Struthio camelus: one gene and its partners. The protein of the gene in region 1 interacts with the protein of each later gene in a biochemical or structural test. Links are inferred from orthologs where the notes say so. Each region holds a gene or a part of one and is shown in the gene's direction. Other genes may lie near its edges.

The links.
Region 2: the proteins of AP1G1 (region 1) and SYNRG form a complex in vitro, tested with the Homo sapiens proteins (2 studies listed by BioGRID). The link is inferred for Struthio camelus from reciprocal best matches to the Homo sapiens genes AP1G1 and SYNRG.
Region 3: the proteins of AP1G1 (region 1) and EPS15 form a complex in vitro, tested with the Homo sapiens proteins (2 studies listed by BioGRID). The link is inferred for Struthio camelus from reciprocal best matches to the Homo sapiens genes AP1G1 and EPS15.
Region 4: the proteins of AP1G1 (region 1) and CLINT1 form a complex in vitro, tested with the Homo sapiens proteins (2 studies listed by BioGRID). The link is inferred for Struthio camelus from reciprocal best matches to the Homo sapiens genes AP1G1 and CLINT1.

What each region holds. Positions count from the first base shown.
Region 1 is NC_090951.1:429,110-436,162, reverse strand, and holds the start of AP1G1 (AP-1 complex subunit gamma-1), read left to right. Parts: upstream 1-4,046; 5' UTR 4,047-4,287; coding exon 4,288-4,329; intron 4,330-5,249; coding exon 5,250-5,453; intron 5,454-6,377; coding exon 6,378-6,502; intron 6,503-7,053. UniProt on the Homo sapiens protein: Subunit of clathrin-associated adaptor protein complex 1 that plays a role in protein sorting in the late-Golgi/trans-Golgi network (TGN) and/or endosomes.
Region 2 is NC_090957.1:20,416,193-20,423,664, reverse strand, and holds the start of SYNRG (synergin gamma), read left to right. Parts: upstream 1-4,453; 5' UTR 4,454-4,588; coding exon 4,589-4,749; intron 4,750-4,839; coding exon 4,840-4,880; intron 4,881-6,183; coding exon 6,184-6,302; intron 6,303-7,472. UniProt on the Homo sapiens protein: Plays a role in endocytosis and/or membrane trafficking at the trans-Golgi network (TGN). May act by linking the adapter protein complex AP-1 to other proteins. Component of clathrin-coated vesicles.
Region 3 is NC_090949.1:31,182,813-31,190,286, reverse strand, and holds the start of EPS15 (epidermal growth factor receptor substrate 15), read left to right. Parts: upstream 1-4,463; 5' UTR 4,464-4,578; coding exon 4,579-4,605; intron 4,606-7,474. UniProt on the Homo sapiens protein: Involved in cell growth regulation. May be involved in the regulation of mitogenic signals and control of cell proliferation. Involved in the internalization of ligand-inducible receptors of the receptor tyrosine kinase (RTK) type, in particular EGFR.
Region 4 is NC_090954.1:11,009,433-11,017,231, forward strand, and holds the start of CLINT1 (clathrin interactor 1), read left to right. Parts: upstream 1-4,799; 5' UTR 4,800-4,964; coding exon 4,965-5,005; intron 5,006-5,797; exon of another isoform or gene 5,798-6,044; intron 6,045-7,799. UniProt on the Homo sapiens protein: Binds to membranes enriched in phosphatidylinositol 4,5-bisphosphate (PtdIns(4,5)P2). May have a role in transport via clathrin-coated vesicles from the trans-Golgi network to endosomes. Stimulates clathrin assembly.

The sequences.
Region 1 (7,053 bases):
CAGAAGTCATGCGTGTTGGAAAATAAGCAATAGTTTTGTCTTTTGCACTTTATGATGTCCTCCTTCAGAGCAGTTCCTAATTGTCCTGCTTTTATCAGACAAGAAGTGTGCAAGAGAGAGATGATTGCTCCTAGGAGGTAGTTCAGGTTGAACTGTCTGTACTAACTGCCTGTTAGCATATTACACAATTAAATGTAAAGTAGAGGTAGCCTCATAATGTAGTTATCATTTCATCAGCAGTATTTATTTATTCTTGAATTGCTTGCTTTCCTAAATGCTAGCTTCTGCTAACTTTCCTGTGGTTGTGATGTGAGGAGGAGAAATAATCTTTACAATGTGATTTGCTAATTGTTTGTTTTATGCAAGAGCATTTGTAAGTATAGGTTATGCATTTCTGTTCAGTTCAGTGAAATGGATTTCACCTTGGGGTGAAATCGTATTAGATCTCCAGCGTTTGCTTTCGTTTTACCTCTCCTGTCAGTGAGGTAGGAAGTCTTGCCTAAATGTCTGTGAAGGAAGAAGAATTAATATTCATAAAAAGCTGTGCTTAGAATATATGGTAACTTTGTTCAGTGCTGTTTCCCCTTGACTAAAGGGCAGTTTGTCCTTTTACTTTGTGTTGTCTAGGGCCAAGCTTAATTTAAAATGCTTAAGTCCTCTATGGGCGCATACCTACAGAATGAGTTTCAGGCATGTGGCCAGGAAAGCTATGCTGTTGTACAAGTCTCAGGCTGACGGTATCAGCGTTCAGCAGTTTATAATCTCTTCGAATACAGAATGGGAGCTAAAAGGATTTCTGATTTTAAAACAACTCCTTGCCAAACTTCAGTCTATTTGCAAACTATGCGTTAGAACTTTTCAAAAAGTTTGCAAAGAATTCTTTCCTTTAAAAAAAAAAAAAAAGTTTCAACTTGTAATAGCCCCTATCTAACTTTTCAGGAACATTAAAGATTTAGATCAACTTAACTAGACTGCAGAACCATAGCCTAAGTGTGGTTTACTGCCGGAGGGAGAACTTCACCCCAAATCTCCCAAAGCTGTAGTTTCTTGATGCCGCCTTTGTGTCGGCGCTAGCCAAACCGATCTGTCTGAAAACTGCTCTTTTTGGGAGGAAAGCGGCAAGCTGGTTTCCAGGTGGACAGGTTGCCTGAGCTGATACTCTGTGTCTCAGGAACGTGAATGTCAGTACAATGGGGGACAGAGTGAGACCACCTCTTTCAGCATTAGCCTGCACATAGGTCACCTTAGTGATTTTGAGACTGTTGCCTCAGACTGCAAAGGATTATTCTGGCAGTGGAGTGTTCTTACTTTGTTGTGGTTTAATTATTTTTTCCAAATTTTTCAGCAAGTGTTTGGGTGGACAAAACTGGTGGAGAAATGCATGGTGTGTACGTGTGAGGGCAGTCTGAACTTAATTATGAGCTCTGAGCTGGCCGTTGCCATCCAGGAATGAGATTTTGGATTTATGAAAGACTGTTCTATGAAAAACACAAGCCGAGCGCTTTGTAGCAATCGGAACCCCAAACTGATTGTTAGGAATGAATAGGAAGTAATGGGGGGAAAAGTAGAAGACGTTTATAGGACGTATAAAAACAATGGCGCCTCCATCTTTTAAATCCTGTCTGTAGTTTTACTTTCCCCCTTTCTTCCTCCCACCCCTTCAGAAAGGTCATAGGAGAACTGTAGGATGCACAGATAATGTAACAAAGATAACCTGGAGTCATGGACTGGAGAGAGTGAGCGGGAGACAAAAATGGAAAATACAAGATCATGAGTTTCACATAAAAGCTACATGGGGAATGACTGTTATTGTCTCTCCTAACAGAAGAATTGGAAGCATCAACAGAACCAAGCAGTTGGGAAAATACAGAGCAAGTGAAGGAGGTGGTTCTCCACAGTGTGCAATCAAGCTGGAACTCTGTTCTGCAGGATGTTGTTGATGCTAGAAGTTTACCTGGGTTCCAAACAGAACGAGGCAAATCTGGTGAAGATTTGATGCAATGTCTGGCTTTGGAAGTTCTTGAGCCACAAAATGTTGGAGACTGCAAGAGTATTCTGGGGAAGTGTTGCTAAGTGCTTGCCCTTGTTCTTATACTCTTCCCTAGGCTTCTGCTATTGGCCATTGTTGCAGACAGGATACTGAACAGGATGGAGCTTTGGTCTGACCTGGTATGGCCGTTATGTTTCTTTTGCTTTCTGCCACCTTTGGCTGTGCATTCAGTAAACACAGAGATATAGTTCCTTCTTAAGTTAGAAAATACTAGAGACGTTTCTAGTGAAGGGTGCCTAGAACATGTTCTTCATGTAAATTAGTAGAATGAGTTGACAGAAATGAGGGTTCAACTTGAATTAAGAATAGCTTTTGTAGGAGATTCATAAGACCAGATTTTATTTGTTTATTTATTTATAGCCTAGGTTCAACCACTTCTGATGTGATCATTTTAAAACAAACTTAAACTGGTGATGTTACAAGGATGCACAGAACTTGGGGGACTGTATCCTATCTTACTTCAGAATAGCCTCCCAGGTAGATAAACCCTGTGCCTTAAGTTTTATTCAGAGTTTCAGCTCTGAAGGCTCGCTCTAAGGATAGGCCTAGGCAGGCAAGTTACTGAGGAATGTGCTAGGGCGTAGTTGACAGCAGGTTAACGACTCTCCAGTAACAGCATACACTCTACTCTCTCTATCTCTTTTCACTAGGAATAAATTACCACAGAGTAAAGCAACACAACCAGGCAGCAACTGTGAAGCAAACATTGCACACTAAACCGACGCTCTAGCTTTCTCTGCAGTAATTAACTTTTACACAGTTACCTTAATTTTACATGCTGTTTAAAACCATGCTTTCATTTTTTTTAAGTTATTTTCAGATTTTTTTTTTAATATCTCTGCTAGTCTGAAATTTCTCAAGTAAGGCATTTGTCAGAGGCTTGTTGCAGGATTTTAGATAAGTCTATTTTGTCCTTTCAGGGTAGGAAAAGTATTTTATTATGGGTAGGTGAGAGGATATAGGGGGAGGGGGGAACCGATAGAATTAAACTGCCTTTTATTTGAAAAGCTTTGGAACCTTCATGGTTCTGGCTGAACCTATGCAAGTGGTAGGGGTTGTCCTTTTGTTTTGAGGATATATTGTGTTGTTTCTGTGAAAATCTTGTTCCAGTTTGGCCAAACAACGTTTGAAAAGTTGGTTTGTGCATGCTCCTTTGAGACTTGCACTTTAGAAGCTACAGCCTCCAGAGGCAGTGTCCAATAAACGTGTTCCAGTGCATAGCTCCCGATTCTCAGCAGGGTTTGTATGTTCGGTCTCTCGCGATCATAGAATTTTACCTTGCTGCTAGAAAGATGGTGCTCTAGGACTGTCGCTTGCAGTTGTTAGCTCAAGAGCAGAGCTCCGTGTTACCAGTCTAGGGAGTCACACCCAGCCAATGGTTTCCCCATGTACATATTGATATGATGCTGCCTGAAGAAAATCTTTCCAGTTTGCTTTCAAAAATTCAGAAATGTTGGGCAAGCATCATTGAAAGAACGTGACCGCAGCACTCAACGGCCTTTTTAATGCACGTTCAAATACTGTTCTGAAGACTGATTTCGTACTTTCCCTTGACCGTTTCTCTGATGCTCGTTAGTGCAGCATCTGAATGATTAGGAAGCACTAATTTATTTCATATCACAGTAATGTGAGGAACTGTTATTAACCTCATGTATGGAGAAGCGAGGCAAGACTAAGGACTAAAATAGCCAATAATCTTGATCCTTCACTTTGAGGCATCTTAGGGCAGAGTTTCCTTATGCTGAAAGAGCAACTCTTCATTTTCAAAATTGAATGTTTCTGCCAATTCAAGCTCTAGATATGAAGATGGGCAACTGGAATATGAGGCGCTACATAGTTTGACTGAAGTAACTTAATGTTATGTGTGAATTCTGTAGCAGATCAGGTTTATAATCCAGATCTGTAGAACAGCACTCAGCTGTTTTACTGTGAGGCCACCTTTACTCATTGTTTGTGTTTAATTTCTTTAGCAAACAAGTCCGCTACTAGCTCAGTATGCTTCTCAGCCTGCCTAGTCCCTCGTGCATTCCAATATACTGCGTCGTGTGTGCAAGTGATTCGTTGTGATACGGCAGCGCTTGAAATGTGTGAGACACTGATTTGGGAGAATGGTGACCCAGACAAAATCTGTAACAGACTGCCATGCTGAATAAGTTCTTGCAAGTTGGCAGGACATTTATGTGTCATCAGAATAGTTATCTTCAGTCTTGCATGCGTGAAAAAAGATTGTGAGGTACATGCATAGCCTGGTCTTCCTAAAAAGTCAAGAGACTGCTTTGGTGAGTATAAGAACTTGAATGCTCAACTGTTGGATATAATTCTTAAGTTTGACTTTTTTTAGAAAGCCATTTCTCTCTTGGGTATTCAAGAAAACAAATTGCTGTCTGGGTCAGACAGCTCAATCTGTGTTTCATCTGGTAAAATGAAACTGCTCAGAGTTCATGTAGGATAGACTTTCCTTTCACACAGTGCCACCAGATGATAATGTGAGGGGCTTATTTGTTTTAGAAAAGATTGTTCTGGCTGGTGTGTAATAAAGGGACAGTGTCAACTTGCCTTTTTTTTTTTCTTTCTTTCTTTCTTTTTTTAAAGAAGAGTCTCTGAAATGTATCCACACTGTCAGGATTGCTCTTGCAGTCTGCTTTTTTCTGCCTACTTTTATCCCTCTAAGAAAGAAGTGTGCATAGCACAAGGAGGCAGAATTTTTGAAGCATAGATATCAGAAACACCTCTCTGAAATTTTGTGTTCTTTATTAAGCAGCATTGATTTTTTTTCGTGAAGGATTTGCGTCCTAATTCATCAAGGTTTTGGGATCATCTCTATTTGAGCGTGACTTCTGGAGAAAGTCAGAAGATGTGAACGTGAGAACAGGCATTGCCAAGTTCCTTTCCTTCCCCTTTCAAGTGGGGAGTCATGTTATGTTCACTTGATAGCCAGCTCAGAGCATAGCAACTTCTGTCTGTAATGTTCTGTGAAAATGGAACAGCAAAGATGAGAACTTAAATTCCTGGGGTGTATAGAGAATTCCTCTGGTGTTCAAGTTTCATTTTAACCAAGCCCTGAAGCAGTCTATATTTTCTTGTTCCTTACATTTTTGTAATTGTGGGATAAGAAATAAATTTTCTTTATGCTAAAATATGAGGCAATTATGATGTCATCAGGTACAGTAGAGGGTTTACAGATCTTTCTTCCTCCCAGAGGATGCCAGCCCCTATCAGACTGCGGGAGCTGATCCGGACCATCCGGACAGCAAGAACCCAGGCAGAAGAGCGTGAGATGATCCAAAAGGAATGTGCTGCTATCCGATCATCCTTCAGAGAGGAAGATAACACGTACCGATGCAGAAATGTGGCAAAGCTGCTGTATATGCACATGCTGGGTTACCCCGCGCATTTTGGACAGGTAGGTCAGACTTTGGTGCTTGCTGTGTTATGTGCGCATGCCAGTCTGCTTTGTGTGTTTTGGGTACATTGCCTGGTTTAGAGCGTTATTAGCTGTAGTTTTGTTGTCTGCCGTTTGGGGGTCTGTCTTGACACGTTCTGAATCTGCATTAGTTTTTGACCATGTAAGTGGGATTTGCTATTTGAGATTTGTTCTTAGATAACTGTATGAGTTTCATAACAAAATATTCTGCTTTTGCCAGACTGTCTGCTCCTAACTGCCCATGTTTCTGCCGCGCCCAGTACATATGGGTATTTCTAGATGGGTTCAAAACAGCACTTCAGGGTTATGTCTCTGATGATGGAAATTGCAAGATGCTTCAGAGGAGGTTCTGTAACCACCACCTTCTACAGTAATTTGTTCTAGGCGGATAATAACTAGTCTATGCCCTGCTGTAAGACATTGCTGTTCCTTACCCCTATTTTAATGATGTGACCTGGTGAATGCTGGTTCCAGTTTTCTCAATCTCTTAGCTTATTTTTGGCACGTTATTCCTCCGGTAGACTATGGAAGAGGGAGACAGGAAAGATGAGAGTTCTTGATCTACAGAACATCTCTAAACATGTTTTTTGCTTTTGTACTCTGACTTAACTGGCATATCTGGTACATCAGAGGTCATGGAAGGTCAGCAGTGAATGTCTACTTCAAGATAAAGGAGCTGCTACTGGCTTTGCCCCGGCATTGCTACTGGCTTGCTGGGAGCTTCGGGCAGATCATTTAACCTTTGTTTGTTGTTTTTTCCCTATGACCAAAATGGGAAGAAAATATACTTTTTTTAGACACGTTCTCTGAGAGACCTAAGATGTGAACGTAAAAGTTCAAATCGCTTCTTCTTTAGTGAAGAAGTAATCTAAGCTAATTCTGTCCTTTTTATTTGTTTTCCAGTTGGAGTGCCTCAAGCTCATTGCCTCTCAGAAATTCACAGACAAGCGCATTGGGTATTTAGGTGCCATGTTGCTGCTGGATGAGCGACAGGATGTCCATCTTCTTATGACCAATTGCATCAAGAAGTAAGGGTGCCATCTCTTTCTCCATGAACACCTGTTTTGAGGTTTCAGGGTCTCAGAGTTTACTCCTGATGGTGATACTTTGAGTACTTCAGATTTTTTTCATTATGTTAGAATAATGGTATCTTCAATCTAGAAATCTACTGCTGTTGACTGTACAAGACTGTTTTAGTCTTGTGCTGCTTTGCATGATCCTATTCAGCTTCCTTAGAGGGAAGAGAATATAAAGTTGCATTGGTCCTGAATGCACATGGCAAACTACATTTGATGTAACCACTGTTTCAGAATGGTAATGTATATTTTCTGAAGGTCTGTTTAAGATGAATAAAATCAGGAAGCTGAAATAACCACAATAAGCTGCTCAGCCAGTGCAGAAAACCTCAAATTGCTGTGAAGAACTCTCTCCTAGTTCTGTAAAATAGTTACCTGCTAGCTTGCAGTAGGCAAAAGCCAGGCAAGGAATTAGTAATGCAGCATTATTGAAGATTCATCCACATTTTACATACGATTGAACTGGAAGATGTTTTTATAACACTGATAAAATGTTGTATGCT
Region 2 (7,472 bases), on another chromosome or scaffold:
GCGGCGGCGGTGGCGGCGTGACGTGGGGGGGAGTGGGGCCGCGGGCGGGGGGTGTGGGGAGGGGAGACGCGAGTGGGCGGTGTGGGTGAGGGCTGGGGGGGCACGGGCGTGGGGGGAGGACACGAGTGGGGGTGAGGAGGGGGCAGGTGAGGGGAAATGGCGGCCTGAGCGAGGGGGCGGAGGGAGATGTGGGGTGAGGGGGGCAGAGGGAGGCCGTGGGGCAGAGGTGTGGGGTAAGGGGGCACAGGGAGGCCGTGGGGCAGAGGTTTGGGGTAAGGGGGGTGAGGTGAGGGGGTACAGAGAGGCCATGGGGCGGTGGGGGGGTGTGGGGCAGAGGTTTGGGGTAAGGGGGGTGAGGAGGGGGCGCAGAGAGGCCGTGGCACAGAGGTTTGGGGTAAGGGGGGTGAGGAGGGGGCGCAGAGAGGCCGTGGCACAGAGGTTTGGGGTAAGGGGGGTGAGGAGGGGGCGCAGAGAGGCCGTGGCACAGAGGTTTGGGGTAAGGGGGGTGAGGAGGGGGCGCAGAGAGGCCGTGGGGCAGAGGTTTGGGGTAGGGGGGGTGAGGAGGGGGTGCAGAGAGGCCATGGGGCAGAGGTTTGGGGTAGGGGGGGTGAGGAGGGGGCGCAGAGAGGCCGTGGGGCAGAGGTTTGGGGTAGGGGGGGTGAGGAGGGGGCGCAGGGGCAGACACGAGGCCCCAGGCCGGGGTGCGCCCCAGAGGCCACGTCAGGGCTGGGGTGGCTCTGCGTTTTGCTGCGATTTGCTCACTTTTTCAGTATCCCGCCGTATCCTCCCCTGCCCCCCCACCCCTTGGGTTCAGGCAGTGGTTCCCAAACTGCGGCAGTGGTGACCCGCTTGGCTATTCCAGCTCCGCAGCTGCTGCCTCGATAATTGGGGCAGAAAGGGGTTTGCGTGGCTCGCGAGCGCTCTTTGGAGGCCGGAGGCTTTGGCAGCGGTAACCGTCGCTCGTGGGCGCGGGGGGCTGCGGCTGCTGCGGGATGGGGGTCTGCCCCCGCGCAGCTGTCCTGGCAACGGCCCCTTCCCTCCTCCTTCCCGCAAAGGGCACTTTAGGGAAAGTCGGGGATTGAGGAATGGTGTCGGGAGAAAGACACGCTGGGAAATGAGACGTGTTAACAAGTCACTGTGACTTGTGAAGGATAAGAAGCTTTGTATTTTGTGGCCTTTGTAACTGAAGATTTAGTTATATATATGTATTTTAACCTGGGCTCTTCTGTGCTGTTTATCTACTGTCCTACTTTTACGGAAGGACAGAGTTGGGTAAATTGTGCTTTGGCAACAGGAATTTAAATTCGTTGACTCCTCTTGGATACCCAGAACGTACCGTTTTGTCTGTGTTAGCGTAAATTCAGCGAGGGAAGGTCTGTGCTGTGGCGACCTTTGCTGGAAACGTGCGTGCATGTGTGTAGGGAGCTTTTCTTTAGCTGTCTTTAGCCAGGTTGCTGCTCTGCATTTATTAGTAGGCATCATAGGTGCTCTGGGAATAGAGTTTGCAAAGCATTTGGGAAGAGAAAAGCTCAAGTATATACTTGTGCATATGCATGTTTTGGAAGGGATAGGAGGCTATCTTTGTATTTCACCATAGATATATAAATCTGAAACAGTTCTTTCAAGCTGCTGGATAAACCATCCTTCTCTTGGAGCAACACTATCTACTTAGCAAGCATATGTGATTAAAACAAGTAACAAAAACTGTCAATAAACTCTAGATTTTGAAAAATAAAAGGATTTTAAAATCCTTGCTTCTCATTGTTAATGTTGTGGGTTTTTTGAGTTTGAAGACTGGAAGTAGGGGAAAAGCTTCTTTCTGTGTGTGTGTGTGTGTTGTGTTTTGCTTTGCTTTGCTTTGCTTCGTTTCACTTTCATTATTGTGGACTTCTGGGTAGAAATTTGACATTGAAAAATACTCTGACTTAGTCTGTATTGTGTTGATAGAATTGTTCTCACAAGGAATTAGGAGATTTAAACATCCAGTTGCAGATGGGAAAATGTTATGTGTAGTTCAGAGCTTTTGCAATAAAATAGGAATGCAGAAAAGGAGCTGCTTCTCCCCGCACTCTTGCTTTTCTGAATGAAGCTGACTTTTTTGAAGCTCCGTATCTAAGATACTTATCTGATAGAAATTTGCAGATTTATATTACTACTTTGAGAGTTCTACTCTAACCAGGTTACTTTGTTTTCCTTATGGTAAACACTGCACAATTACATTTTTTTTACTGTGTTACCCAAAGCATTACAGCTGGTTGCGTGAACCTAGGTGGTCAAGCGCTTCTGCTGTTGAGAAAAACAGAAATGTCCACAGGTGTATTTTCTCTTTTCCCAAAGTCTCTGCTTATTGTGTAATTCTCTTGTCAGTATTATTTTGAGATACCTGGAATTAAAAAGTCTCCTTTAAAAGAAAGTTACTTAAGATAGTGATCCTATCAATATATAGTAATTCAAGTTCGGTAATTTTCTATAGTGCTTCAATTTTATCTAAGAACTTACTATGACAACTTTTTTTCAGTGATGAAAATCAGTTGCTCTAACTTGACGTGTGTAGATATACCATTTCTTTTTTTAATCTCTGAAAAGTAGTGTAGAAATAAAGCTTATGTTGCTTGAATAAAGCAACTCATGGGGAATTATATATGTGCTTTTGTAGCTAATCGAGGCAAATGCATAGCTAAATCTTGGGGTGAGGTCTGTGATGGATCCTAGCTGCACGCACACAATACTGTGTTAAAGAAGCTTGCTTTGCTGCTTTTGTTTAACTAGTTCTTCTTTCAGTCTCCTCTAATTAGCTGCCATTTTTGGTTTTTTTTTTTTCATCAAAGACTTATAAATAAATCAGGAGTTCTGTAGAAAGGGATAAATATTTAATAGTCTGGCCTTTATTTGCTTTCCAACAAGCAATGGTACCTTGCAGCGCTTGTTTAGATGACATTACGTTTGCTAATTCGGAAGAATTCTTGTTTCTATGACCAGATTCCCCATGGAGAAGGGAAAACATGAAACTGAGAATACCCTTTGATACTTGTGAGCTTTTAAAATTTAACTTTTACTGTTTTGTAATTCTCAAGAAACAAATGTGTGTTTTTTATGATACCTAAAATTGTTGCACTTGTGGGTCTGACCTGTGGCAAAAACTCCCATACATCTGAAATTACACGCGTTTTAAGAGGATGTGTTACCAAGGTGGCACTCTTTACTGACAGGTGACAGAAGAACTATTTCCATAGGTGAAATCCAATGCAGGCAGAATCCAGTGAGCTGGCTGGACTTCGGTCCTTGAGTGGACAAAACCACCTTTCTGACTGAGATGGGCGATCGGTCATGGGTCCATCTAAGATTTTTCAAGTCAGCTATTTGTCTTCATGATATTAATACTTGTATGCTAAGAAGTGGATTAAAACAACCAAACTGAAGACCCATCAACTGAATATTTTTTGGTCACAGTTTGGATGGGATTCAGTTCAAACAGACTAGATAGTCCCAGCGGTTGTTTTGAGGTCAGATAGGGTGCACCTACCCAGTGTTTCAAATATAGAAACTGAAAATTGTGGTGATTAAGAATGATAAGATCTGAGCCTGTTGGAACACAGAAGCGTGTATTAGTTATGGAAGGGGAAATTAATGTGTATCCTGGTGGTTAGGGCAAAAGAAAAAGCCAAGGCATTAAAAAGATTCCAAGTTAGAGGATGAAATGAAGAGTAATGTAAATTGTCTTGGTGACCATGTAACCTGCTGTCTATAGTACAGGTAGCTGCAATTAAATTGTGTGTTTATCTACAAGCCGAATTCCTTATTTTATCTTGGTACTCTTATTGCACAACTCTTACGTTTATAAATCAGGATGTCTTTCTGAGTTTACTGAAGGTTTGTTAAAACTATCTGCAGTCATTTACGATAGCATTTCTCTTTTGCTCTTTAGGTAGTTTCTTTTAAATCCACCCTTGTGCTGAGGGTTATTGAATAGCTATAAATATATTTCTTTGCATAGTATTTTGATGTAATAGCTGGCTGGGACATTGAATGAAGTTCTCATTTGGTAAATTACTGCTGACATATGTTTCTGAGAGTTGCTTGCAAATGAGACCTCTAAACTAGGTCTTTTTTCCTGTTTGGCAGCACAGCACATGCTTTCATTTCAAAGTGAGGGCTAGTAATTGCCATTATAATTTCAGCTGAATTTTTAAGTTCTTCCTTCAAGTGTGCTTAGTCCTTGATACTTGTATGAATGTTTTTTTCCATTTTCCACTACCTTTCTTCTAATTAGATGTAATTGAGAAAATACAAAAGACATTATTTTATGATACTTACTGTTAGTTACTGTTGGATAATTTATTTCTCTACAGAAAAACTGTTCCTAAGCAGCTGAGAACTATTTTCTGATGCAGTTAATGATCTAGCTGAATCAGATACCTCCAGCAGGAGATGCTTATTCATTCTGCAGTTCTTGAAGGCCTAGCCCATGTTTGTAAAGGTGCTGAAAACTCTTTGAAGGGTAATATGGATGAGTTAAAATCATTTTAGTAGTATTACAGCAGGTGAGATCTATTTCTCCTTAGTTTTGCTGCCTGCGACAATATTGACAATGTCAGTGCAACTCTTCCGTCATTTTGAAGGATCTCCACTGAGGATCCCTGGGAGGGATGGCATTTTCCATAATGTAGGCATGTCCTGTTCTGTGAAATCTGCAGTTGCAGATGAATATGCTGACCAGAAGATAGGAGAGTTTGGTGGTGGTGTTGACGTGTAAGTCAGCTTTTGCAGTCATTTATGTAGAGAAGTTGCATTAAAATTACTGATTCTTACATACCTTCTCTCCTCCCCTTCCCTCCCCAGCTTCATGTTTCCTGTAGCAGGCGGTTTAGGCCCTCCTCAAGGTATGTATGAATTTCAGGTTCTGAGCACTAAGTTCTTTCCTTTGTTTAGATACATTATACAAAGTAATTTCTGTTCTGTGCTGATGCTCAGAAATGTGACTATTAAGTGAACTCAGCTGTTTTTCCGCTTCGATCCAGTACCTGTAAGCTGAATCTTGCAACATTATTTGTAAAACTTATTATATTTAACGTTGAAGAAGCGCTATTACCAGAATGCTAGATTAAAGATCTAGGAGTTAGAACTCCATTTTGAACCTGAATTTGCCTGTAAGATTTTTTTGTTATTTTGAACGTAGTATTTAACCTCTTTATGCTTCATCTACCAGCTCTGTATGCCCATGTTGTGTGGGTGTTGCAAGACCTGGTAAATATTTACAAAGCACAGCAAGACCCTGGGATAAGAGGCGCAACCTATGTGGAAAGTATTAATACAATAGGAGAGCCTCAGCCTTAAATTGCCTTTGTTCTCATTCCTGTTTCAGTGCTGTTTGTTTAATTAATGGAAAATGCGGAGAGAACTTGTAGGGGGAGGAGAGAATTTTCTGAAAAAACACCATTTCTCAGGGACTGATTTGTGGATCCTGCGTGTGTCATGTCACTCCTGGAGTGCTTTAACCTATGATATTAAGTTATGCACAGTTACAGTTATCTCAGAATACTGGTAACGCGTGTATTTTCTATTAGTATGTGTCCTCCAAGATAGCAAAAATGTGAGATGAGAAAATACTGAAACATAATCCATTTGGCTTTATTCAGTGAATTAATACGTTCCAGCTTGATTTGTCCAATTCTGTTAAAGTTTAGCTTTTACTGATAAATCTTTTAGGTAGTGGTCTAACTAATCTACTCAGCCAGCTTAGAATGTGAAAGTTTCATTGTGAAAACGATATGAGTTTATCTCCTGTATCAAAAGATACTAATTTATAAGTTCCCCTTTCAAGAGAAATGGGGAATTATCAATGCCTGTCAACCTGGTCAATTAAATCTCGTTACGGTTGGAAATGACCCTTCTGAAATAAGATGTGAAGAAACCCACAGAGAATCTGCAGGATGGTGGAGGGATTCATCAGCTTAGTTATTGGGGAAACCCCATAATATTTCTTCCATTAGACTGGCCAACACCTAACCTAAGGAAATTCTCTGCCTGCCTGCAGTGTTGTATGTTTTTTATTTATGAAACAGTCCAGCAAGACTGGGAGGTTTTTCCCTTCCTTTGCTGTATGGGTTTAATTGAAAAAACAAAATCAAAAAAGCAAACTGTAGCACTGTCGGGGAGCTTACCTCGTTTAATGTTTTGTTGTAGGGATGATTCCTATGCAACAGCAAGGATTTCCGATGGTTTCTGTCATGCAGTCCAATATGCCGGGCATGATGGGCATGAATTACGGTTCTCAGATGCCTCCGGGACCCATGACCATGCAGGTGTGTGACACTTGTTTATATGGATTGAAATGGCTGCTTTGATGTTCGTTTGAAAGGTGACAGCCGGTCCTGTAGCCCTCTCAACGGCAGTGGGGTAACAAGGGAGAACCTGGCTTGAAACTGAAGCAGGGATATTAGTGGGTATAAACTGAAGCAGGGCATCATATTTTGTAGTACTCTCTTTGAGTATATTTCTGATATTTAAAGAATTCTCTAAGCTTCATTGGGATCTGAGTAGAGAGAATGTGGGAGTTTGGCATACATTACTTACTGTTGTAGAAAGAGAGAAATGAGGGTGTAGTGCAAGGACAATATCAGTAACATTAAAAGCAACTTCGATGTTACAGTCTGCTCAAAGATAATAGGTCCTGACCTTTCATTTCTTATATGTGTTATTGCATCAAAGGCTGGTAACAGAAGGGTGGTCCCTCAGCAGCAACAGAAGCAAAAATATTAGTAAGATGCTGAAAAGCTATCAGATGCCACCTACTCCAAAGTATGGTTAGTAATAGTATTGAACTGTTAATTAGCTATTGTAATTCAAAACTCCCACAACATACTCCTCTGTCTTTTTACTTCTGCTTCATGCTTTCTCTTTTTTTTTTTTTGCTTTGCTTTTATATTAATTACATTCCTGCTCTTAAGGTGGTATATTGTGTAGTATTTTAAATGAGACCTTTATAAGCTGGTAAGAAGTTAACTATGTATACAATCTGATTGGTCATGACCAATTCACTGCATTTTGTTTTATCCCTTTGTAATGCCTATGCTGGCAGTAATAGAACTATGTTTTGTAAATGTAGGTGGCAATTCATAAACTTAAAAGAAAAATCCCTTGTTCCGAGGAGCAAGGAATCTCTTAATGTGCTATATTTTTTTCACTTGATCAGTTTTCACATTTATCCTGTTTCCTATGTTTTGTTATCATTTTTTTCTTGCTTAAATCAATTTCCTGTCTTTAACTCTTCTATTGCTAATTGCTACATATATATCAGCAAACCTTTCTAGTACAGATGCACTTTATACAGGCAAGTGTCTTCTTTTCTTCTGTCTTATACTATCTCCCTCCCTTGGACACCTAGATAATCTATGCTTGCAAAATGACTAGACCAAGTTTTGATAGCATCCGTTGTTGGTTAGGAGAGTGTACCTCCTGGACGGCATTTAAAA
Region 3 (7,474 bases), on another chromosome or scaffold:
GGCTGTAAAATGCATCAGTCTATCAATAAGCCTGCATCTGGCAAACTTCCAGCTGCATAAAACGTAAAGAGCACATGAAGCATATCCCGAGATGCATTACTAGTTAGACACATCTGCAGTTGTGATTCCTGAAACAGCTTGTGGTACCTAGTCCAGGGAAGTACTTTGAGATTTTTGATAAAAAATACCCTCTGTCCAAAGGGTCAAACTTTTGTACAATGATCTTCCTCATTTCTCAGAAGGGTTATTTCAATAAGCTAAGTGTGGTAAAATGCTGTATCAGGAGCACAGCTGGTCCTTGGCTTTCTGAAACCTGTGCGATGTAAGGCAATCTCTGCTCACCTGTGAGCCGGTCCCCTTGCATTTCCATCGCTTGATCACAGAATAATAATTCCTTTTATTCAGGATGTTTTGTGTTCATGCTTGTTGTTGTTGCTGTTCTGTCAAGCTCCCTATGGTTTAACCCTTCTGCTATTTAGATCCTTAATTCTGCATTTGTAATACTGGAGCTGCTAATCTGCTTTGCACTGAAATTCCCAAAAGCTGAGTAAGTCGTTTCATGACTAGGTATGCAGGAGGCAGGAGTGAGCCGTTGCTCTAATCAGCCTCTTGATTGTTCATGGGCTGTAATAATGCTTTTCCTAGAACAAGCAGGACGAGTCACACTAAATACCTAAGTGTTGTCCAGGAAAAAATAATGGGCTTCCTGTGTGCCAATCCATGATGTAAACCAAACTATAATAAAGAAAGGCACGGACACTTAAGATACTATTTCTGGGGAGACCAGTGGATCTGTTTAAAAAGTTACTAACTTTACTGAGGCCATTTGGTGAACATAAGAGATGCATAAAACACTGGGGACATTAGTGTCTGATTCTCACTTGTGCAAGGCCTTTCTACACTGTCTTGATATAGCACAGGTTTCAAATCCAAGCAAACTATTACAGCAAGTCATTTATGCAGTATCCTGCAACGGGGATTTGCGCTGATACAGTTACGCTATTGCTGTCGTAGCTGCGCTGGTGCAAGCTACATACCCCATCTTTCCTTGCTATGCCAAGAGATTGTTATTGTAAATAATAAATAGATAATAAAATCAAACCTGCTAATGGTTTTGGGTGGGTTCTAGTAGCCCTAGTGGTTCTCCTGGCAGAAAATAATCTGTTATAGGTTACTCATTTCAAAGTAGGAACCCTCTTTTTTGACCCTATGTCAGGAGATAAAATTTCTATTCCAGCCTAGAAGCAGATGGCTATCTCCTTCTGGAAGCTGTCATGCCAGATTCCTATAAATCTACAGTACAACACTTCATTGTCAGCAGGCTGACAACTGTTGTAATTAGAGGCCATGAGATGTCTGAGTCCATGGGCTAGCTGTTTTATCTCAGGTGGTTGGCGGCATCCAGGACAATACTGTCTGCTGGAGACACAGAACACCCAGCAACGACAAAGACCTATCTGAACGCACCAATCCAGTGTTGAATGAATGGGACTCATTATTTTAATAGGCAGAGACCACAAAGATTACCTCAAGTGATCCTCGCGCTCTGACTCTGGACACAGTGCCCACGTACATAATGTCCATGTGTTCTTCAAGACTGTCCATCCATCCCTTAGACGAGCCAAGCACGCTATCCGCATGGCCGGGGTGTGAAGGTTGAAGGTAACCACTTATCAATAACCACCTATCTGGCGCTGCCACGACGGTATCTGAGGCCCTACACAATGCCTGTTAGTTCCCAGCTACCACTGACTAAGCAGCAACCTCAACTCAGTCCGCTGGTGCTGACCAGGAGAGCTCAAAAGCAGTATGAGAAACGCTCTTCGGCTTGCTAGACCACTGTGCTCTTTACAGTCTGAGGGAGCAGGACTAGGGGTTGCCTCCTCTGCCAGGAACCCTGACTGCTGGTATCTCTGCCTAGCCCTGATATCAAGACTCTCAACTTTCCTTTCTCCCTGCCTTTTCCAAGCCCTTCAAACATTTTCCCTTTTCTTTATTTATCTCATTTCTCACTTCAGAACCTCTTCTCCTTGTTGCCATGAAAGTCAGCAGTTTGGCCTCCCAGGCAGTATATGCTTAAGTCTTTCATAGTAAATACCTTATTACCAAAAAAAAAAAAAAAAAACCATCAAAACTGTTTTATCTTGCAGTCACAGGAGGAGAAGTCACTTTACTCTGGGAGTTGTCTGCCACCGCCTCAGTATATACTGAAATAACGTGGCCATCCCATTCTGCTCAGAAGGGACAGGGGACATTTAGTCATATTTCAGGTGAAGCTGCCCTGCATGAAGGACTCTGTTGGCAGAGCTGAGCTTCCTTTCAATCTCCAGCCTTCCTGCACAACCTACTCTACAGTCCCTGCCAAACTTTATTCAATAGCCCGGCTGCAACTATGGGTCTAGTCATGGACTAGGTGGGAGACTCAGTACCCAGCATAAGAGAAAGGGCCGACATCTGCCGAGTCTGATAGCCTGCCCACAAAATCCTGCTCACAACAGCCCTCAACAACATCTAACTGCAGAGCCAGGTCCGGTTACTCGTTTTGCATTTTCCTTCCATTTGCAATGACATGCAGTCTGGCATAACTTTTCTTCTCCTAAGAGGCTGTGAGTCTGCTACCAGATCCCTTCTCCTCACCCAGGGAGAGGAGATGGAGAGAAGGGGAAACCAACTGGTGGAGCAAAAGGCACCCACCAGAGTTCATGGCAATTGGTAGAAAATCAACCCCTTCAAATGTCTCCTGAGGGGCTCCCTCCCAAATGCTAACAGGACCAAATATTGCTGTCCCCAGGAGACACAGCTGTGGTTTTACCATCTCCTGGTTTAATTTCCATATATTAATTATTGTGGGATAGCAATTTTCCATGTTTAATCGAAGAAGAAAAAAATCAACCTAGAAAGATAATAGCCTGTGAAATTTTACATAGGAGGAGTTGAGTGGGAGGTGGCGTGGAGGTGTGACAGTGATAAATATGTGAATGGTGTAAATGTTTTTATATCTATACTGTTGTTTGTTTTTTATATTCTTCCTCTCTCTCAGTGTCTGCTTTTTCTTGCTGAAGCTATGACTGAGAAACAGGGGAGTAAAGCAGAGGTTTTGTAAAACCTTTATGAGAGGATGGGTGCGAAGGAGGGAGCCTGCATGTTTCGTGACAGATGAGAAATAGCAGTTAGTCATGACTGCCAGCTGAGGAAAGGCAGGATGCAGAGGTGGGGCACGAGCACTAGGATAAGCATGAAACTGAACTGAAGAGGGAAAAACGCAGAACAGTAGAGAATTAAGAAGAAAGAAAAAACACATATTGTGAAACCTTTCCAATAAACAAGTATGATTCCTGTTTATTTCCTTTTATCAGCCTGAATGTGTATTTCAAGTTTAAATTGATGCCTGATCCATCTTTGCCTAAGTTAAAAAAAAAAGGGGGGAAATGTTTTCCCTCCACCCTCACGGAGTGAGCTATGACTTGGTAGAGCAAAGAGATCAGAAAAGTAGTTCAAACAGGCAGCGTGCGGCCGTGAGCAGGTACCGCAAAAGTAGCCCGTGCTCTCTTGTTCCCTGGCTCTGTTGTGGCAAGGGGAGATTTACTTGGGGGGAGCTGAGCGCCACGAGGGAGAAAAATAGAAAAAAAATAAATCATGATAAAAGCAGGAAAATAAAAGCGGTGACATGCATATCCCTTTCTGCCATTTTGTACACAGTTGTTTCCCACGGGTTAGGAGAACGCAGGGCAGTTTGCTTTCCACTCCAGCTCGCTCCTCCTTTTCCTTCTGCCTGCATTTTCTCCCCATTTCCTAAGGGTTGTTTGCCCCCTTTTCTGCTTTTCTGTCCTCCATCTAGCCCACTATTCCCTTTATGCTCCACCGAACGCAAACCTTCTCACAGAGAGACGGATATACATGAGCAGCAGTCACCTAAGCGGGTATAGCATCCATATACTCATTTCCTGTGAGCGGAGAGGTCGGGGAGAGGCAACAGGCCCAAATCCAGGCTGACCTTCATTGTTGATGAGCCAGGAAAGGACATGTCAGCTCAGCACGTCCTGTTGGACTCGCGTGCCGTTTCCTCCTGGGCTGTGCTCCCCATCCTGCTGCAATCCCAGACCTGATGCAGCTCCTGCTTGGGACTTCCCCCATCTGTGGGGTCCTGAACCAGAGCCTCGTAACAGTTCAAAGTGCTTGAAGCCCCTGCTGCTAAATATACGGGGCAGAAACAGGGCCAAGAGGGAAGGTAAAAGAAAGGCTAGGAACTGGGAACTGATGGAGACTTCACTGCAGGATATTTACCACTATAAGGCAGGTCCGATCCGAATCAGGCCACAGCTCCGGCTCCGGGTTTTTGTTGCAGCTGCCTAGAGCAGGCTCCGGCTCCGGCGAGTAGGGCCCGGCGCCCGGTTTTGCTCTCGGCTCCGGCTGCCGTGTGCGGGCGGAGGGAGGTTCCGGCTCCGGCCGGTCGGCGGGCGGGAATCCAGTGCCGGGTTTTGGCCGGGGCCAGCTGGGGAAGTTGCCGAAGTTGGGCCGTGAGTGCGGCGGCTGCGGCGCGTCCTTCCTGCTGCCCGGCCGGTGCATGATGGAAGCAGCATGGCCGCCCACCTCTCCCTGACACAGGTACCTCCCGCCGGCTTCCGCGTCGCCACCGCGCTCCCCGCTCTTCCCTGCCGCTCGTCTTCCCGCTGCCGGCGGGCTCCGAGGCCTGCAGCGTGACTGGGGGTGGGGAAGGAGACAGGACGGGACCGGAGCGGGGCCTGGGGCTGACCCCGGCCCCGTCGCGCCGTGGTGGGTGGCGAGGCCGCCTCACGCCGCCCCTCAGCGCTGCCCGGCCGCGCTAACGGCCGCCGGCGCTGTCAGGTGGCGGCGGGGGGAGGGGCGCGTGGCTGAGGCGGGCGGGCGCCGCTGAGCCCGGGAGGCTCCGAGGAGCAGCGCGGAGGGGGCGCCGCAAGCGGGAAACGAGATCCCGGCCGGCTGCGGGTGCCTTTGCCCCGGCAGCGGGGGGATAAACCTGCCGCGCCGGAGCCTCCCCCTCGGCGGGCAGCGCGGCCCTTGGGGCGGGCAGCGCCGCCGCCGCAGCCCGCGGAGCTCCGCGCTGCGCCTGCTGTCATCGCAGCTCGTCTTTTGTCTGGTAGGAAGGCGAAGGCGCCTGGCATTTAAAAAAAAAAAAAAAAAGGGCAGAAAACCGCCCTGTAGGTTTTGAAGGCAGGTGGTAAACTCGGAGGCGAAGGAAGTGCTCGCTGAGGGCTTGAGCAGGGTAGTTCTGGGTTTGGTAACTGTGCCCTGGTGTCTGTGCATGGACCCGCTAGTCCAGCTTCTGTCTTCGGTAGTGTGCTTGAGATATTTAAGTGACCGTATAGGAACGGAAAAGATTTTTGTAGCTTTTTGGAGGTAGTAGCATCTGCATATTAGTGGACAGGCAAGGAGATGAGCTTGGAAGAGAGGGCTTCATCTCTTGTCTTAGCAGTAACCTAACTCCAAAGGTACCATTATTCAGAAGGAACAGCTTGGAAGTCGTTCCCCCCCCCCCTTTTTTTTTTTTTAATTTGCTGCACTGCATGGTGTAGGGATGCCTTTTTGCATACTAGCTGTACAGATGCCTAATGGCAAAGGACTTAGATCGTGGTCTTAAAACTTGGAGAAGGTTAGTACCATTCAGTGTTCAGGTCAACTCACTTTGACTAAGTCTTATTGCTTGTATTTTTTTTTTCCTGGTGATACTATTCCTGATGATATTGCTTCATACAAGCGGTGCTATGCTGTCAGAAATATCTCTTATTCCTTAGAGCTCTGATAGCAATAAGCTGTGCAGTTTTGGTACTTCTTTGTTTCGTTTATCAGTAACATGAGAAACTTGCATTCCTCCATGACATAAGTCTGAGGAAGGCCTGTCAGTGCCCCCACTCTTTTCATGCCTCAGTCTGCTAGTCAGTTACCTCCTTTATATAAAAATAAGGACTAGTAAATAAATTTGATTAATATTTAAGCACATATAAGTAAAATAAAAAGTTGGTAGTAAGACTGCTCGTTTTGTAGTTATTCCTACGTGTAGCTGACTGTTGAGGAAACCCTCAGCTGTTCCATGGAAACGCGGGACAGTGCGGTGAAAATCAGAAGCTCACCTATGTTGAGGAACTAAAAATGTTTTTAAAGGTCTAAAGAAATACAGTTATAAAGTATAGCACACTGTGAAAGCTTGCTTTGGTGTTCCAAAGTGTGAGGTTGGCCTTTTCTGTTTCTCTTTTTTCGAAAGTTTTCTAGCAAAAGGGAAAAAAAAAAAACTTCTTACTGAAGAGGAAAAAAAGCCTTCTTAAACCAGTAACCTTAATTCAATATGTTTGAAGGCATGGAGTATTCTGGCTCTTTTGGGGGGGACGGGAGAAATATCTGCTACAGCACATTATGCAGTAAGACATTATTGCTTACAAGCTTTTTTTGATCACATGGGGGAAAAAAAAAACTGTGAACAGAAATGTGATAATGTTGACAGAAGCAGAAGAATCACCAGTGTCCTTAAAACTGTCATTACTACAAGTTAAGCTATTAGTTAAACTAAGAAAGTTATTTCTGTTGTTATTGAACATTTCTATTTTTTGGCATTGAAAAGTAGCTTTGGGTTTATTTGATTTTTCTCAGATGAGTGTTTCTTCATTGTGGGTTTTAATTTCTGGAATTTTGGTGTTATGAGAAAATAGTAACAAATCATAAGTGTCTGAGTCAGTTTAGATACAGTGAGAGAGGTGAAAATGGTAATAATTGTGCTTGGGAGAGTGGATAAGATTACTAGCTGCAGTTAGATCAATAACAGGGACCAGCCAGAAAAAGTAGGCAGATTGTTACATTCTGCTGTGGACCATGTGCAGGGAATAAGAGGCATATTTGGCTGTAGTCAAGTCAAAATTGTCTCATTTTTTTTTCCTTTTCCTTTGTTTGGTTTTGACTGTAATTTAACACAACTAGGAAGTAGAGTGTTTCCAAAATGAGACGAGGGTATTTTCAGATGGTTTTGCAGCTGCAGTATCTGAGAGGGCTAGACATCCTTTATTTGAATATTGTAGCGCTGTTTAAGTTACATGAAACTTTTTAGTGCTAGATGGTAGATTGCATTTTGTTGGCTGATAAGCACAAATATTTCAGGACTGTGTAATTGTAATGGAGTATGTTACAGTGAGTATGCTTGAAACGTGTTGCAAAATGAAAGTGATTATTCCCCCCCACTCCCATTTAGTAATAATCTGAAGTGTCTTGTTCTCTCCACCTTGAGCCTATTCTGCAACATCTTGTTGCCACTTGCATTTGTTCAGTAAGTATTACAGTCTGGGTATAACTGTGAATTGAATATGAAACTTCTAAGAAAACTTCTACCAAGGAAATGTTTTGTTGTGGTTGCCTTTAGTTGGGAAGCAAGCTAGCAGAATCAATGAGAAGGAACTGTTTATATCTGGAATATTGTGTCATTTGTTGTTGGAAAACTCAAATTAAGCTATAG
Region 4 (7,799 bases), on another chromosome or scaffold:
AAGCCTGTAAGAATGTTGCATAAATTTGTAATGCACTTTGAGAAGTCACCACGTTTGCCTAATCTAGCTGAAATGGTTCTACTGTTTCAATGACTGTGAGGAGATGGGCAGAGTGAAATCCACATGCCCACAATATGGAATCAGCATTCCTTTCTTCAGGCTAGGAAAGGCAACAGCACTAGGGCTGAATGCAGACTGAGGTTAATATTGAGGTTAATACCTGTGGGGACTTCTTGCAAAAAAGTGCTAGTGCTATGTTGGCTGTCTGAGTGGCAAAGTTGCCCTCCCAGCCTCTGAGACAAATCACCACCTCTGTACTGCGCTTCCAGTCTTCTGCAAGCATAATATGCTTTTGCAGTCTTGGCTCTGAAGCTTAAAATAGGATCATTTTCACCTCTTAGAAAACTTTCAAGAAGTTTGCTACCTAGAACATTCCTCTGTAATGAATGAGACGTCCTGGGCATGAAAGTGCTGCTGGTGAAAGGATGTACCACTTCAGAGTAGGAGTGAAAAGACCAGCGTTAGGAGGGATATAGCTGGAACAGTATACATCACTACCAGATTTTCCTTTTTATTCTCCATATACTTATCATAGGGAGCATTCACATCCCCCACTACTGCCTGTACCCCAAGCCGCTCTCCTTGAGCTAAGGAGTGTGAAATGAGCTCAGGTGATGAGTGGTAGAACCTCTGCAAACAGACTGAGGACCATGGAAGTGACTGGAGGGTTTTGCCACTTTTACTTACCAGAAGCAGAATGTTCTGTGGCAGAGCAGGGAGACATTTTCCAAAACAGCCCATCTAGAGACCATTTATAGGAGTGCACGTGTATAAGTTTGCGTGTATGGCATATATTACAGAAATACAGAGATTGGGATTTGGAGAACTGTGATTGTTTAGAAAAGCTTGGGGCACTAACTGGTCTACAAATGGAGAAAATTATTTCAGTGTTTCTTCTGCACTATGAACCAATTCTTAAAACAAATATATTTTAGAAAATTCAGATTTCAGCTCTGTAAGCAGGTAAAAAGTGGAGCTTGATGAACTCAGGAAAACAAATGTTGCTTTAAGTGAAAAGTTTGTCTCAATCTCTGCCACTGCTTCTGTTCCCTGATCCTAATGCGTTTTCTCTTGACTCCTCTTTTTTTTTTTTTCCTTTTAATTGTAAATTAATCACTGATTTGGATATATCTCTGCCGGGCATTAATATGGTTGAGACTGACAACAATATTGCTCTCCAGGCATTTGGAATGTGCAAGACTTTTTGTGCACCAAATGGCCCATATTAACTTCTGGAATATCCAGGTGCAAACTCTATTGCAGTGTTCAAATTAGTTCAATTTCTCTAACAGCTTGTCCTGTAACTGATGGCTCGAATTATAATAAAATACAGTTCCTCTGCATGATATATGTTACAACTACTACCTGTTATGCTGAATATTGCATTGCTTTGAAACTGCATTACCCTCTACCTACACTGATCAGATCTTTCTGTAAAGCAACTACTTATGCACCAGAAAGTTGTCTTCACATCATTCAGAAATTATACATATGCTCATGCACTTTTATCAGCAGCTGACAAAATGGGGATGGCAAAATTACTGTCAGTCATGTTGCATTCAATCTTACATAAAGACTTGCTTTTTACTATACCCTGAAATTGACAATAAATGCCATTCATCTCTCCTTGCCCCATTACTGCATCCAGACATAGCTAGTAATGCTTAAAAGACCTGCACCTTCATCTTAACTGCTTTTACATTCCAGTTTTATTTTTTATCTTTCTTCTGCATATGCTGTTACTTTGCTATGCCTAAAATGCTCTCTCCCTACTCATTCTCTTATTCTGAAATGTATAATTAGAGCAAGTCTTAATTTTTTCTGATGGAAACACAGATTGGTAAAAAACAAATCAATCAAACCCTGAGGGTTCACTGACCTCCAACTGTTTCATTCCAAATGTTAACCATGATGGGAAGAAAGGAAGAGGAAGGGGAGGATTTGCCTCCGGGGCATGTGCACCTGCCAAGCGTGGCCAGAGTCTGGACCCTGGAAACTGCCTTTTGCAGCCCATCAGACCTGCCAACTTATGGCAGGTCTGTTCCAGCGCTCAGGACTCTGGCCTACAGTTGCTCAAAGAAGCCAACACTGACAAGAACATCAATTTCATTGCACCGCAGAAGAATCTGAGGAACTTGCAGATCATCAGAAATATATTTAGAACTTTCATTTTAATCCAATATGGAGTGAAGCCAGATTTCAAAATAACAATAGCAAATCAGAAACTTTGCTTTTTTGCTAGCTCCAGTTGCAATACTTAATTCCTCTTCTTCTTCCCTCCTACTCCTGAAGACCAATGTCCTCAGTCTTTTTGCAAAAAAATGAAGGGCAGATAACAAAAAGCAAGGGTCCTCACCCTGCCTGCTTTGGCAGGGGTTACAATATGAAATTAAGGACCTCCTCATTCCTGGTCCATGATGGAAAGGCACATGGCAGAGGGGACAGTGAGCACAGCAAAACTGGTGCTGAGTTCAGTTAAACACAAAATTACCACAGCCACAAACAGCCACCGTAATTGTTCTGTTGCAAACTAAAATTCCAGCTTGGTGTTCAGTAGCATGCAAAATGGCAAACCGTGTTAAGAATGCTTATGAGGGAAATTGGTAACAAAAGAGAAAATATCATTAGGGTGACCTGTATCTTGAATACTGCATGTAGTGCTAGTTCCTCCCCTTCAGTTTGAAAACAGATACAGTAGAACTAAACAGGTATGGTTAAATATATCGCACAACTTCTGCACAAGGGAAAACTAAGTATAATAAGAGTCTTAGGCACAGTGGAAAGAACAGTATAGTAGCAAATATCATAAGACCTATCCTAAAAATCCAAAACTGTCAAGAAAACGAGCAACACGGAATTATTGTATACTAATTCTCGTAATACTTGAACTAGCAATACTGTTAAGCAGACAGTTTAAAACATATGAAAGAAAGCATTTTTTTACACAACTCATAGCTATGTTGTAGAATTCATTGCCACAAGACGTTGTGTAAGATAAAAAAATAAATGGGTTCAAAAAACAATCAGTTAAATTCATAAAACCATAAAACCATCAAGTGATCTTAAATGCAAAGCTTTAGCACCAATACTCCGGCACCAAATCCCTAAGCCACAGAAAACTGGAAATGAGAAAGCTATACCTGGGGATTGATCCATCCACACTCACCAGCTCTTACATGTTTGGAAGATAGAAACCATGGGGGTACCTACGTAAAAAGATATAACAGGATGTCAGAAAGTGGGCAGGTGATCAGGTGTTTGCTTTTGCACTTTTTCCTGATTAGTTCAAAGAACAACTAATTTTCAGAAGAACTCATTGTAATTTGACCACTAAGGGAAGTCGCAGCTGATCTTTCAAATGCTGTTGTGCCTATTTTGAAAAGACAACTACAATGAAAGATAGAAGTTTACAGATATATGTTGTCTTTAGCCGAAACACATTCATGTATGTTTTCTGTAATTTTCTTAAAATGAAGCACAGGCATTACATTACAACTCTCCCGTACAATTTGCTCTCTGAAGTATGCTGACAAGTGTAATTGTAATAGTGTAATTCTCCTACCACACAAGCAAGAAATATACTTTAAGAATATAATACAGACTAACCATAATATCCAGGCACTCTGTTCATGCCCTGTAACTTGCAAAGAGATAGCGGACTGACTTTCATCTCTTCTGAGAAAAAAATTCCTCAGGACTAGTCATTCAAAATTCATGTTGAAAACAAGTTGATAGATACACAGATAACAAAACTAAATGTATAATGAAACTGTCTCACGATCTTGATTATAAAATCACTTCCTTGGCTTCACTGTTTTCATTATATCCAGGGAGTTGTGATTCCTATTCAATACCCTGCATAAGCAAGCAACATTTGAAGATGGTTTTGCAACCCTTGTTGACAAGCACATTAAAACAGTTACTATTCTCCTGAGGCAGCTTTAATGCATATGAGTCTTCTTTGGCTTTCTCTCAATTGACTTGATCTTTCTTCAGCAGACAAGGTTCCTGCACGTGTTATGCCCAGACGGGCCTCACTACCTTCAACACACTTCACCCTTTCGTGCTTCTTCCTGCTGGGCATCTCTGCTCCTTGCAGCCAGGCCTGCGGAGGCCTCCACAGAGTCTACCCACTGCCCCGGAAGGCTGTTCGTACATCATGGTCAGCAAACAAGAAGTCATAAAGACAGAATTTTAAATGAGTTCCTCGTAATAAAAGTGGGGTATAAAACCATATGCTAGTCAGACGTGACTTTTATGCCTGTGTTTTGTGGTTTAACCAGCCATTTGCATAGACCTCTCTCCCTCTGGTGCCTAAGTTGGCGGTGAGTCAAGAAGCTAACCCGGCATTAGACAGAGCCGCAGGGCAACGGTAGGTCAGATCAGACTGCGGCTGCTGCGGCCTAAGCCGCGGAGGACAGAAACCTCAGTCCCACCGCAGGCTGGAAAAGTGTTTACTGGGCCCGAGCAGCCGGGCCGGGCCGGGCCGGGCCGGGCGGCCGCCGCGCCCCCCGGAGAAGGCCACAGCACTACGACTCCCAGGGGGCCTTGCGCGGAGAGTGCGCGCTCTTCACTGGGGACTAAACTTCCCACCGGGCTCTGCGCCCGGCTGGCGGTCGGCTCCCAGAAGGCTTTGCGAGGCCAGGCCGGCCTCTCCGCCCGGCCGGCGGGGAAACTACATATCCCATCAGGCCGCGCGGCAGCTGTCCCTCCATTTCCGGGTGCGTGCCGTGTCCCTTAGTTGGCAGAGGCGGCGACGAGCCGGAGCGGGCCTGGCGCGGCGGCTGCCCGGAGCGCGGTGAGCGGGGCCTCGTGGGGCCGGCGGCGGCGGCAGAGGAGGAGGAGGAGGAGGAGGAGGAGGAGGGCAGCAGCGAGGCCGAGGAGGTCTCCGCGCGGTCAGCGCCATGCTCAACATGTGGAAAGTGCGGGAGCTGGTGGACAAGGCGTGAGTACGGCGGGGCGGGGCGGGGGGCCGGGGCGGCTCGAGCCCCCTCAGCGGGGCCCGGGCCCCCCCCCGCATCATGGCCGCTGCCTTCCTCTGCCGAGGCGGCCGCCTCACGCCCCCTCGGCGCCCGGCTGATGCCCCTTCCTCGCCCCCCTGCGCCCCGTCCCCTGCCCTTCTCGCCGGGGGGACTGCCCCGCGCGGCCCCTGCTCGGCCACCCGGCGCGGCTTTGGCCCCTCGGACAGCCAAGGGCTGCCCTCCAGGTAGTCTGTGGCCTTCCCACTATGGCTGGTGGCTTTCCCCTCTCGCTCTGGTTCTTCTGGGCCCTGCCAGATCTTGGAAAGCTGCGCCTCTTCTTTTGGATACACCCTTCCCTGCCAGGGTCCCGGTGGGTGTGTGCCCATTTTGGGACATGAGCCCTTATAATCGGCCGGATCGGCTCCTGTCATGGCCACAGGGCCCCTTAGGAAGAAACTAGAATATTGAACTAGAAAGAAGGAGGGGAGTTGGGAACCACCTGTACAGCGATCAGTTTTCAGAGTGCTTCCAAAGTCACTGTTTTCTCTCTCTGAGTTTTTTCTTCCTCCCTAAGGACTGATCCCTGCTGTAACTGCCATTGACTCACTGCCCTTGGGCCTCTTAGAGGTGGAGTGTGTTAGAGGAGTGAAATACTCTATTCCAGCCCTTAAACGTTTAAATAGTTCAGGTGTTTGCAGGTTTATTTCCTTGAATAGAACCTCCTCCCACTGTAAGCTTGACAGTGGCGATAATAATCGTGAACACCCTGTTGTGCTGTGAGAGCATGACATTATTGTTTTGTTTCTCTACCACTTCTTAATTTAAGATGTGAGAAAACTTTTGATACGATGGAGAACAAAAATTATATTTTGCCTCCTTAAATAATCTTTAGGGGCAAATTCAAAACACTTTTCCATGAGTTTGTGGACTTCTTAGAGGAATAACTGGCTGAAGTTCTGTAGATGAATACCTACCAGATCAGATTACATGATCTAATAGTTGTGCCTAGCCTTGGAAGTCAAGGTGAGTCTTTCAAGAGTGCAGTCCCATTTTGAACTTTATTTTACTTCGATTTCCCCAAAGAGTATTTAAACTAATATTTTATGTGGAGTTTAAAGATGGTAAACTGGAGAGAAAATGGTAACTTATTTGTGATAGTAAATATTTCTTTAGCTTATAATGCAGTATACCTTACTGAGACTTCTGTAGGCTGAGAGTCAGAGATGACATTTAAAAACCACTGTGAATAAAACTCCTCCCAAGACAGTTGTTTACCTTTTTATTGTTAACAACTTCTTACAGGAAAAGTCAACCCTTGCTTAAGTAGGATGGTAGTTTTAATAATGTTACAAATTATACGTAGTAGGACAACCCTGATCCCAGGCACATCTTGAATTCCAGGACCTAAAAGGACATTTTCGGGGAAATCGAGCTTCTCTAAGTTTTGCTTGTGTAATCTTAATTGGTTAGTGTTAATGATTGATATAATATTGCTACGCCTTATCATTATATTTAAAATATTTACTTTTAAAGATATTTCATAAGTTATTAAGTCAAACAGTACATCAAAACCTGTATCGGAAAAGGCTTTCAATTTTTAAACCAAGCACAAGAAGTTGTGCGATATATTTAACCATACCTTTTCAAATGATGGAAAAATACTTCTGAATAGTCTTCGATTTCAGGGAGTAACATTATACAAGGGAAGAGGACTGTATAGTGTTTTTTTTTTTTTTTTTTTAAGACTTGAAGAGTGAATAGCATTTAGAGGCATCAAAATCAATAGTCCCATTGTGTTTGGGACAGATCTGTCATAATGTCTTCTGTCTTAAGGCCACGAGATACAAAATTCTCTATAGAAGAGGCTGTGCCATGTTATCCTCCTTTTGAATAACTGCAGATGCTGTGGCAGGGACATTTTGAACTTTAGTAAGAATGTCCTTCTTAAATATGATTAAATAGTGGTTTTGGAAAATGCGAATAGCCTTACATTTCAAACTTTGATGGTTTGGGAGAGGGGTGGTGGTTGTGGTGTTAACTCTACATCTTGGTTCTATATTCAGCTGATGCTTATCATAGAACTTCAACTTCCTCCTCTGTTTTTTTTAATTTGCCATTACTTGAGCTTTTAGGTGGCTGACAGCTCGATTAGATCAGAGATGTGTCAAGTTGGCGAACCTGTATTAAACAATTATCAGATTCTTCAGTGTACAAAAGTTTAGAAAGCCATAATATGTGATTAAGTCACTTAAGTAAACTTACTTAATCTTTGTGGGCTATTTGAACAAACAGTGTTTCTACATTTTTTAAAAATATGTAAGTGAAGTGAGCTATTAAAACCTTCAAAGTTTTAGAACCTAAAATTTTTAAGAAATAACTGCAAAGTATGAAATGAATTCAAGTTTGTAGTTAGTATTACTGAAACTTTTAGTATTCTTGCTTTCTTCAGTTTGACAGAAGCTGAGCAATCAAGTTTAATAGGTCAGTTCTGCTCCCTGGTTCTGCTGCACTAGAATCATCACTATTGTTTTTATTGTAGCATTTTGTAGAAATTCTAAGTATAGGTCAGCATCCTTTTCTGCGTAAGATGTAGTTATTTGTAGTATAAAATCATGGCCCTTTTTGAAATTTAGAAAGACTACATGATAGAGTATTAGATTTAGACTGTTCTAAGATGTGACAAGATACTGTGAGCTATCTTATTCTCCCTCTTTTTAACCTCACTGTTCAGTAGTTGCTAATATAACTCCCCCTCTTTTCAATTTTAAGTGCCTTGAT